Saccharomyces cerevisiae S288C: one gene and its partner. The gene in region 2 interacts genetically with the main gene of each other region. Each region holds a gene or a part of one and is shown on either strand. Other genes may lie near its edges.

Region 1 (4,026 bases), on a different chromosome or scaffold from region 2:
AACGATGACAAATATGGACCTTTGTTTGGTTTGAACACCATTCCTGATCAGTGACGGGATTCTTGAATCGATAGCTTTTTTGGCCATTTTCTCCTTGTTTTATAAGTCTCTTATAAGTCTTTGCAAGTTAAAAACTAAGAAATATAAAAGGTGACTTGGCTTATATACTCTATTGCGTACTTTATTTGAGATAAATACAGAATCTCCATGCATCTTCAGCACCTCATCTCATCTCATTGTATCTTGGCTCTTCATTTTTTTTTTTCAAAATTTTTCACACGATTCCGGGTAAACTATTACTTTTTACAACTAATTCAGATATACCTGGGAAGTTACAATGGAAAACATGCAATGTTCGGTCTGGCTTGTATCATTTGATTGGAAAAGCGAGCATCGGTTGATACTGAACACATCCACATGCGTAATCATTAAAAAAAATTTTTCAAATTGCGAACTCTGTGGATCGAACACAGGACCTCCAGATGACTTGACCGAAGTTTTTCTTCAGTCTGGCGCTCTCCCAACTGAGCTAAGTCCGCTTATTTTTCTGAAACCTTTTCCGCCTTTTTGTCGTCCCTAGGAATTACTTTTGATGCACTGCCAATCTGAGGGAAAAATGACGTTTAAACGCACGAGAATGTGCAATTAGATGTAAGTCCATCGAAGCCTAGAGAAAGCGGTTCCAACAAAAGACTGTGGGCTCTGTTATATCATCATGTCATCTACCAGTGATAATAATGCTAATAGTGCAAGAGAGAAAAAACCACTGAAATTCGTGTCAGAAGGAGTTGGTAATGTAGAGGCCCAGAGGATACGAGAGCAAGTGGAGCAAAAAAAATATGAAGCGGAATATAAAAGGAAAACCAGGAAGTCCCTGCGAGATCAGCTTAGGTCTAATGCTATTAGTAAACAAAAACAATATAACGGTTTGGTGAGAGACCGTGAAAGTTTTACTAGGTTGAGTAAAGAGGACCTGGAATTTTACCAGAAGAGCAAGAATGAGTTGCTAAAAAAGGAAAAAGAACTGAATAACTACTTAGACGTCAAGGCAATCAATTTTGAAAAGAAAAAAAAAGCATTACTAATGGAGAACGATTCTACTACTAATACAGAAAAATATTTAGAGACCGGCACTAGTTTGGGCAGTAAAACACAAATAAAGGGCGTAAAGACATCCAGCCCTAAACCAAAAATCAAGGTATCCATAAAAAAATTGGGTAGAAAACTGGAGAACTGATGTGATGGCCTACACACTTCGTCACAACTAGAGCTTTATGCCAAGATTAAACTTCAAGTTATATAAATTATGTAAACATTGGACATACAAAACTCGGAAACTCTTTTTCTATTCATCTTCCCTTCTCGTACGTGCCCACGGAAGCAATAAAAAGAACCGAAATAACCAACACCCGTAACGTCAAAGCATTCATGCTTAGAATGGAAACCATTTCGTGGAATGAAATGGCAAATTGATCACATTGATTGCTCGTTCCACTACCTGTGTCCGCAATTTTTTAATGGTCATCACAGCCCCTGCTGACTAAAGTTCCTCGGATCCGCTTACGGTTGTCGCGCGGTTCCGCCCCTGCGTACTCTTAGTACCTAGCATATGGGCTCCCTCCGTTGGATTGGCATCGATTAGTAAGGACAGATGTTAAGGATTTAAGACCGTTTTTAAGGTATTTCGGCAATGCTTCGATTTAAAAGGAGAGAGTTTTTTTTTTGCCGTTTTCTTCCTCTCACTTCTTGATTAGTACTGTAATTCTAGTTGAAAAAAAATCGTTAACTATACACAGCAAAAAGCAATATCATACTGCATATCAAGCATGTCCGCCTCGATTCCAGAAACCATGAAAGCCGTTGTCATTGAAAATGGCAAGGCTGTAGTCAAACAGGACATTCCAATTCCTGAATTAGAAGAAGGATTTGTTCTAATTAAGACTGTCGCCGTTGCCGGTAACCCTACCGATTGGAAACATATTGATTTCAAGATTGGTCCTCAAGGTGCCCTCTTAGGCTGTGATGCAGCCGGCCAAATCGTAAAGTTGGGCCCAAATGTTGATGCTGCACGCTTTGCCATTGGTGATTACATTTATGGGGTTATTCACGGTGCTTCAGTGAGGTTCCCCTCAAACGGTGCCTTTGCTGAGTACTCTGCCATTTCATCCGAGACTGCTTATAAACCAGCCAGAGAGTTTAGATTGTGCGGTAAAGACAAGCTACCAGAAGGCCCCGTAAAATCTTTAGAAGGGGCAGTATCCCTCCCAGTCTCATTGACCACGGCTGGTATGATCCTTACACATAGTTTTGGCTTGGACATGACATGGAAGCCCTCCAAAGCGCAAAGAGATCAACCCATCTTATTTTGGGGTGGTGCCACTGCTGTTGGCCAGATGCTTATTCAATTGGCAAAAAAACTAAACGGTTTCAGCAAGATCATCGTCGTTGCTTCTCGTAAACATGAAAAATTGTTGAAAGAGTACGGTGCAGATGAACTTTTTGACTACCACGATGCTGACGTTATCGAACAGATAAAAAAGAAGTACAACAACATTCCTTACTTGGTGGACTGTGTCTCCAACACAGAAACTATTCAACAGGTGTACAAATGTGCCGCTGATGACTTAGACGCTACGGTCGTTCAATTGACCGTTTTAACCGAAAAAGATATCAAGGAGGAAGACAGGAGGCAAAACGTCAGTATTGAAGGAACCCTTCTATATTTGATAGGAGGTAACGACGTCCCATTTGGCACGTTTACTTTGCCAGCAGACCCTGAATACAAGGAAGCCGCCATAAAATTTATTAAGTTCATCAATCCAAAAATCAATGATGGTGAAATCCACCACATCCCAGTGAAAGTTTACAAGAACGGGTTAGATGATATCCCACAGTTACTTGATGATATTAAGCACGGGAGGAATTCTGGCGAAAAGTTGGTTGCCGTCTTGAAATAAATAATCTATAGCTACTTATGTATATAGCGCTTGATCATTCTGTTTACCTCCACATTATAGTGCCGTTCAATTCCCCTCACCCGCCTTAGTCTTTTTCGGGCAAAAAAAATTGCCGGAAGAGAGACGTCGTTGAAAGAATTTGGTGGATAAACTCGTGAAAGCTTAAAGTAAGGCCTTTCACCTAAACTCGAGTATAAGCAAAAAATCAATCAAAACAAGTAATAATGTCTGAAGTAATTGAAGGTAACGTCAAAATTGACAGAATTTCCCCAGGTGATGGTGCCACCTTCCCAAAGACAGGTGACTTGGTTACCATTCATTACACCGGTACCTTGGAGAACGGCCAAAAATTCGATTCCTCCGTTGACAGGGGCTCTCCATTCCAATGTAACATCGGTGTCGGCCAAGTCATCAAGGGTTGGGATGTTGGTATTCCAAAGTTGTCTGTTGGTGAAAAAGCTAGGTTAACCATCCCTGGCCCATATGCTTATGGCCCACGTGGTTTCCCAGGTTTGATTCCACCAAACAGTACTTTGGTTTTCGACGTCGAATTGTTGAAGGTCAACTAAAAGCAAAGTACTATCAATTGAGCCGCCTTTCTGCTTTTTATTTATGTTTATGGTAAGTATCTGAGCCTTAATTGAAATAGATATATAATTACAAAAGATTAGACAAGGAGAAGCATACGTATATTCTATTTCTTCATTAAGGTTATTTTATTCTATATCTGCTACACTACATTAAATACAGATACCTCTATGGAACGGATGAGCGTTTATTATCGCGATCTATATATGAGCAGTGATTATTTTTTATTTCGTAGCCTGCTGGAAACTCTTGTGGCAGGAGGGCTATTTTTACGAGAGCCTGCCTTCCGCCTTTTCCTTTTCGGCGAGGTTTCATTGCTAGTATTACCTGTGGATGATGAATGCCTAGTTCTCTTTGCTAATGGTTCATTTTTGTCCTTAGAATCCTTTTTGGTATCATCCTGTTGATCATCTCCTTTTTTGTTTTCCGTTTTTTTCTTTAAGTTGCCCCCTTCTGATTCAATTTGTTTTCCTTTACCTTC
Region 2 (7,844 bases):
GGAATTTTACAGCCAGAGTACAAAGATAAGTATTATTACAGTAAAGAAAAAGGGGAAGAAATGGGCGAGGTAGCAAACGTAAATGAAATTCCGGTCAAGATAAGAAATCATAAGTATCCTGCGAAAGAACATAACTTGAGGGTTAAAGATTTGTTGTTAAATCGCAATCCGAAGCTATCAAAGATATCCACAGCATTTTTTATTGCTGGTGAAGAATTAGAGGGAAACAAGTATTGTGACACCAACAAAGATTTTAGACAGAATAGATATTTTTATCATTTGTCAGGTGTTGATATACCTGCTTCGGCGATATTGTTTAACTGTAGCACAGATAAGCTGACATTGTTTTTGCCAAACATCGATGAAGAAGATGTCATATGGAGCGGTATGCCTTTGAGTTTGGATGAGGCAATGAGAGTGTTTGACATTGATGAGGCCTTGTACATATCTGATCTGGGGAAAAAATTTAAAGAATTGCAAGACTTCGCTATCTTTACAACCGATTTGGACAATGTTCATGACGAGAATATTGCAAGATCACTAATTCCTTCAGACCCTAACTTCTTTTATGCTATGGATGAAACTAGAGCAATTAAGGATTGGTATGAAATTGAAAGCATCAGAAAAGCTTGTCAGATTTCAGACAAGAGCCATTTGGCCGTTATGTCCGCGTTGCCCATCGAACTGAACGAGTTACAAATACAAGCTGAATTTGAATACCATGCAACCCGTCAAGGTGGTCGTTCTTTGGGCTATGACCCCATTTGTTGTTCTGGACCGGCATGTGGCACTTTACATTACGTCAAGAATTCAGAAGATATCAAAGGTAAACATTCCATCTTAATTGATGCAGGTGCAGAATGGAGACAATATACAAGTGATATCACCAGATGTTTCCCAACTTCAGGCAAGTTTACTGCGGAACATCGTGAAGTTTACGAAACCGTTCTTGACATGCAAAACCAAGCAATGGAAAGGATTAAACCTGGTGCTAAATGGGACGATTTACATGCACTGACACACAAGGTTCTTATTAAACATTTCTTAAGTATGGGTATTTTCAAGAAAGAGTTTTCTGAGGACGAAATCTTTAAAAGAAGAGCTTCTTGCGCTTTTTATCCCCATGGACTAGGGCATATGTTGGGGCTTGATGTACACGACGTTGGTGGTAATCCAAACTATGACGACCCAGATCCAATGTTTAGATATTTAAGAATCCGCCGTCCTTTGAAAGAAAATATGGTTATCACTAATGAACCAGGTTGCTACTTTAATCAATTTTTGATCAAAGAATTTTTGGAAAAGCACCCCGAAAGATTGGAAGTTGTCGATATGAGCGTATTGAAAAGATACATGTATGTCGGTGGTGTTAGAATTGAAGATGATATCCTTGTTACCAAAGATGGTTACGAGAACTTAACTGGTATTACTTCTGACCCTGATGAAATTGAAAAAATCGTTCAAAAAGGTTTGAAGAAACCCCGTTCAGGTTTCCACGTAATCGTTTAGGTATTAACTTTTTTTTACTCGCTTCTAGAAGTTTAGTATATTCTTTTGTACACAGAATTGTATATTTTTTTTATAATCTTGGATTCACCATTTAACTAGATTTGGAAATATAAGGAATGGCACTGAAAAAATTAAGGACCAACCCCGAAGAGCAAAAAATGAATGCGAATTCTGTGGATCGAACACAGGACCTCCAGATAACTTGACCGAAGTTTTTTCTTCAGTCTGGCGCTCTCCCAACTGAGCTAAATCCGCTTCTATTTATGAAAAATTCATTGTTACAGGAACTATAGGACTATAATAACTAGCTGCTAACACCTTTAAATGTGACTTTTCTCATAAGGAAATCTAGCGATTCAGAATTCGAGAATTTTGCAGATTGCAAAGTTTTCTTTTTACCATAATATTTGAGAATGTTGTAAAACTTGAGATAATTATTCGGATGTCATTGTTGATTGAAGATAGCATTCCTATGAGTCGCCCTCGAGGACTTGGATCGAAAAATCTACATAATATTAGTAATTACTATTATTGTTGGAATTGGATAAACCGTCGTCCACCTATTTGAGAAATAGGTAATTATTATATGAGTTATTTGGTTCCTTTTTGTTAAAGTAATAATTTGAAATGCCATCCATTTGGTAATATTCATGTTATTGGCATATTATCATATGCGGTTCAGGAAGATGACATAAAAGTTGAGAAACAGTTATCAACCCTAATGGAAGCTGAAATGCAAGATTGATAATGTAATAGCATAATGAAACATATAAAACGGAATGGGGAATAATCGTAATATTATTATGTAGAACTACCGATTCCATTTTGAGGATTCCTACATCCTCGAGGAGACTTCTAGCATATTCTGTGTACATAATATTATGGTCTTGATCAACAATGCAATCCCAACAGTTATCAAATTATTCAGAAAATTGATCACATTTTCGATAAATCTATTATGAAAGTAAAATTTTGACTCATACCTAAGTTCTCGTTATTCGTTAATCTTATGAACTCATTAACCTTGGCGTTTCAGCATCCGCTATGATTACTAGTGCTTAAACCTTGTTATTCATGCCTCATAATTGATGCCATCTTCTAACCTCGAGCGTGATAAAATTTTTGTAATATGAACACCAATCGGCGGAAGATCATCCCAAAGCCACATATGATGGTGCCTTATAACATTAATAACAACTTCAACTGCTGCATACCGATAATATCTTGACGATTATGCATTCGTGTCCTGATAGCTAATGCCATGAAACAATTCTTTTCAATCGCACTTGCACCTTCGTGAAATAGAAGGGTTATCTGGGCTTATCAGACTTGTCCACAGTTTACATATAATTTTTTTTCTGTATTAAATTTTGTGAGCTTTCTTTTTACTCAAACGAACTGTGTTATTTTTCGTTCATTAAATGCGTACCTTTAAGCATCATCAAGTATTGCTCTTCGGGAAAAATGAAGTAACCTTGTTAGGTTAATTTCACTAGTACTATACATATTTTATCCTGTATCATACCAGAGGATCATTCTAGCCACAATGGTCGATACGCATAAACTAGCAGACGACGTTCTTCAGCTATTGGATAACCGTATCGAAGATAATTATAGGGTTTGTGTTATCCTAGTCGGTTCTCCAGGCTCCGGTAAGTCTACTATTGCGGAAGAACTTTGTCAAATTATAAATGAAAAATATCACACATTTTTGTCAGAGCATCCAAATGTTATTGAGGTTAATGATAGGTTGAAACCTATGGTTAACCTAGTAGACTCTTTAAAGACGCTCCAGCCCAATAAAGTAGCTGAAATGATTGAAAATCAGGGGCTGTTTAAAGATCATGTTGAGGATGTTAATTTTCAACCAGTCAAGTACTCAGCCCTTACATCAAATAATGAAGAATGTACCGCAGTAGTTGCCAGAGGTGGTACTGCGAATGCCATAAGAATCGCAGCAGTTGATAATCCAGTCAATGTTAACAAGTTGGCCCAGGATAGTATCAATATAGCGCAAATAGTCCCAATGGATGGTTTTCACTTATCTCGCAGATGTCTAGACCTATTCAAAGACCCACAAACTGCCCATAAAAGAAGAGGTTCGCCCTCAACGTTTGACAGTAACAATTTCTTACAATTGTGTAAAATTCTAGCCAAGACGTCCCTATGTAAGGTCTCCTCACATCATAAATTTTACTCCACTTCAAGCGTTTTTGAGAAGTTATCCAAAACTTTTAGCCAAACAATTCCTGATATCTTTGTTCCAGGATTTAACCATGCACTAAAAGACCCAACTCCAGATCAGTACTGTATTTCCAAATTTACAAGGATAGTTATACTTGAAGGGTTATACCTACTGTATGACCAAGAAAACTGGAAGAAAATTTACAAAACATTAGCTGATACGGGAGCACTTCTTGTTTATAAGATTGACATAGACTATGAGGCCACCGAAGAAAGGGTGGCCAAAAGGCATTTGCAATCAGGGTTAGTCACGACTATTGCAGAAGGACGAGAGAAGTTTCGCAGCAATGATTTGTTGAATGGCAGGGATATAGATAATCATTTAATTAAGGTAGATAATATCGTCCATATCCGCAACGACTAGAAGGTTAGGCGGAACCTTGTATATATTTTTGTAAAATCGAACTGAATACAGATAATTAAGGCGCGCAAGCAAAAACGGCATTCTTTATGAACTCTGCAGAGGTGCCCTTTATTACGACATATATGGGAAGTAATACATATTGATTCTACAAGAAGTTCAAGCCAAGGTTTAGATATGAGTGACCAAATCAACGTTTTGTCAATGCAACAACAACAACAGCAGCAGCAGCAGCAGCAGCAAGTATATATGTCTCCTCAAGCAGAAAACTTGAATCATATGTACTTGTTAGTTAACAAGCTAGTGAAACAGTTGAGGGAAAATCAAGCAGAAAAGGCGAAAATACTAAGGAACATAGACATATTATCCGGAAGCTTAAACAAGTATGAGACATCTGAAGAACCTCACGATACCACGGAAAATATTGCATTATTTAATAGATTTCTAGAACAAAGAGGGAAAGCTCCTATTACTGAGAAAGAGCAACTAAGCAACAATCTGGATGAAAATGCGAAAGATGACGTTATGCTAGGAGTGTTGAAGCGCCAAAATTCAATGCTCCGGAAAAGTTTACAGGAATCCAAGCAGGTAACCCTTGAATCCATGGATTTATTGTCTTACTCCGAAGACTCTTTAAATTACATTGTCGCCCAATTAAGAGGAAACATTCTAATGCATCATAAAGAGACTATCAAATTGATTAGGCAGAAATTCCAGACGGAGACAATTCCCCTCGAAGATGAAGAGTTCAAGATGTATTTGGAAAATGTTAATGGTCTGCAAAAATTGACAGATATATCTCACACTTATAGATTACTACTGAGGTTACATGCACAAGATTGAAACTTTGCCCTTTTGCTTCCAATGAAAGCAAGATGACAAATATACATGCTTCTTATATTCGAGATTGCGCAAAAATTCGAAGCTCATTTATGAAGGCTTTTTCCATTCTGATATATGTTTATGAAATTGAAAAAGTAACGACGGTGGAACATTTTGCGGGAAAACAACTCACAGAATGTCTTGACGTTCTTTTCCTGCAGTTGCGTGCGTAAGATATCCTAAGCTACTGTATTATTTGCCAAAAATAATAAAATGTTGGAGGAAAGCCTCTATAAATACACAGGATATATATGTTTAATAAACATATATAATTTCCTCAATATTTGCAAAAGCATTTTGTTGTGATGAGAGTCGATTATCGTTTACCGATTAGTATCTATACTATTAATATATTTTCATATAATTAGTATAATCTCATATACGCTGCCAGAAGATAACATGAAAATTAAGAAACAATCATCAGCTTCAATGGAAGTTGAAGTGCAAGGATAAATAATACTATTTAGAAATATGGATTTTCCCTCGTTGACTAGAAGATCTGTGAAGATTGGGTGAATAGTTTAATAATTATTGGATCCCATTATTGATCAAGGCTATAATACTTGACTATTTGGCGAATTTTGAGATAATTGTTGGGATTCCATTGTTGATAAAGGCCATAATATTATGTATACAGGATATACTAGAAGTTCTCCTCGATGATATAGGAATCCTCGAAATGGAATCTATATTTCTACATACTAATATTACGATTATTCCTCATTCCGTTTTATATGTTTCATTATCCTATTGCATTATCAATCCTTGCACTTCAGCTTCCTCTAACTTCGATGACAGCTTCTCATAACTTATGTCATCATCTTTACACCGTATATGATAATATATTGATAATATAACTATTAGTTGATAGACGATAGTGGATTTTTATTCCAACACACTAATTATCATTCGTTACATCTCAAATTGGTTAGAGAAGTTACAAACATTATTATTGATTTATCCAAGGATAGTTTTCACAAGAAAACAAGCGCAAGTGGTTTAGTGGTAAAATCCAACGTTGCCATCGTTGGGCCCCCGGTTCGATTCCGGGCTTGCGCAGTTTCTTTTTTTTCTGATTTTTATTTTTTTGTTCCTGAAAATTTTTCGTATTATTAGATCTAGTAGAAAATGAAAGACATTTGAAAAGAGAAATATATATTCTGCAGTAAGCTAGCTAAGACTAGTCGTTTTGAAGCGCTAAAACGTTAACTTCGATTCATAGCACAAAAGGTAAATAACTTTTTTGAAATGGCAAGCATCGGTTCGCAAGTGAGAAAAGCTGCTTCTAGTATTGACCCTATCGTCACGGATTACGCAGTGGGCTACTTTAACCACTTGTCCGGAATAACTTTTGATGCTGTTCAAAGTAAGCAGGTAGATTTGTCCACTGAAGTGCAATTTGTGTCCGATTTATTGATTGATGCGGGTGCGTCAAAGGCTAAAGTTAAAGAACTATCGGAAAGTATTTTGAAGCAATTGACTACTCAACTAAAGGAGAACGAAGCCAAATTGGAATTGACCGGTGATACGTCCAAGAGATTACTTGATATTAATGTCTTAAAGAGTCATAACAGTAAATCCGATATCAACGTCTCATTAAGCATGCTGGGTGTGAACGGTGACATCGAACATACTGGTAGAAAGATGGAAACAAGAGTTGATTTGAAAAAACTGGCCAAGGCTGAACAAAAGATCGCAAAGAAAGTCGCCAAGAGAAATAACAAATTTGTTAAATACGAGGCTTCTAAATTGATCAATGACCAAAAGGAGGAGGATTACGATTCTTTCTTTTTGCAAATCAACCCTTTAGAATTCGGTTCATCCGCTGGTAAATCCAAGGATATCCATATTGACACTTTCGACTTGTACGTTGGTGACGGTCAAAGAATTTTGTCCAACGCCCAATTGACTCTAAGTTTTGGTCACAGATATGGTCTTGTGGGCCAAAATGGTATTGGTAAATCTACTTTGTTAAGGGCTCTATCTAGAAGAGAGCTGAACGTCCCCAAACATGTTTCGATTTTACACGTGGAACAAGAGTTAAGAGGTGATGATACAAAGGCTTTACAAAGTGTGCTGGATGCAGACGTTTGGAGAAAACAACTATTAAGTGAAGAAGCCAAGATCAATGAAAGATTAAAGGAAATGGATGTATTAAGACAGGAATTCGAAGAAGACAGTTTAGAAGTTAAAAAATTGGACAATGAAAGAGAAGACTTGGATAACCATTTGATACAGATTTCTGACAAATTAGTCGATATGGAATCTGACAAGGCTGAAGCTAGGGCAGCATCAATCTTATATGGTTTGGGGTTCAGTACGGAGGCACAGCAACAACCCACTAATTCCTTTTCCGGTGGTTGGAGAATGAGATTGTCCTTGGCAAGAGCCTTATTCTGTCAACCAGATCTTTTGTTGTTAGATGAACCTTCCAATATGTTGGATGTGCCATCCATCGCTTATTTAGCAGAGTATTTGAAAACATATCCAAATACAGTTTTGACAGTTTCTCACGACCGTGCATTCTTGAATGAAGTGGCTACAGATATCATTTATCAACACAACGAAAGACTAGACTATTACAGAGGCCAAGATTTCGATACCTTTTACACCACAAAGGAGGAACGTAGAAAGAATGCTCAACGTGAGTATGATAACCAAATGGTTTACAGAAAGCACTTGCAAGAGTTTATTGACAAATACAGATACAATGCTGCCAAATCACAGGAAGCTCAATCAAGAATTAAGAAATTGGAAAAATTGCCCGTTTTGGAGCCACCTGAACAAGACAAAACCATTGATTTCAAATTCCCTGAATGTGATAAATTGTCTCCACCAATTATCCAAT

What was found. Genes that interact genetically often act in the same process or in processes that back each other up.
Region 1: mutations in GCN20 (region 2) and FPR1 together harm fitness more than expected from each alone (negative genetic interaction), as found in Saccharomyces cerevisiae (3 studies listed by BioGRID, with this or other methods).

Annotation. Positions count from the first base shown.
Region 1 is NC_001146.8:371,382-375,407, reverse strand, and holds FPR1 (peptidylprolyl isomerase FPR1), read left to right. Parts: upstream 1-3,181; coding exon 3,182-3,526; downstream 3,527-4,026. Other genes in the region: ribosome biosynthesis protein KRE33, read right to left, coding at 1-87; FYV6 (Fyv6p), read left to right, coding at 716-1,237; YNL134C (uncharacterized protein), read left to right, coding at 1,827-2,957; EAF7 (Eaf7p), read right to left, coding at 3,763-4,026. UniProt on the Saccharomyces cerevisiae protein: PPIases accelerate the folding of proteins. It catalyzes the cis-trans isomerization of proline imidic peptide bonds in oligopeptides.
Region 2 is NC_001138.5:156,244-164,087, forward strand, and holds the start of GCN20 (putative AAA family ATPase GCN20), read left to right. Parts: upstream 1-6,244; coding exon 6,245-7,844. Other genes in the region: YFR006W (putative Xaa-Pro dipeptidase), read left to right, coding at 1-1,509; YFH7 (Yfh7p), read left to right, coding at 3,056-4,117; FAR7 (Far7p), read left to right, coding at 4,292-4,957. UniProt on the Saccharomyces cerevisiae protein: Acts as a positive activator of the GCN2 protein kinase activity in response to in response to low amino acid, carbon, or purine availability.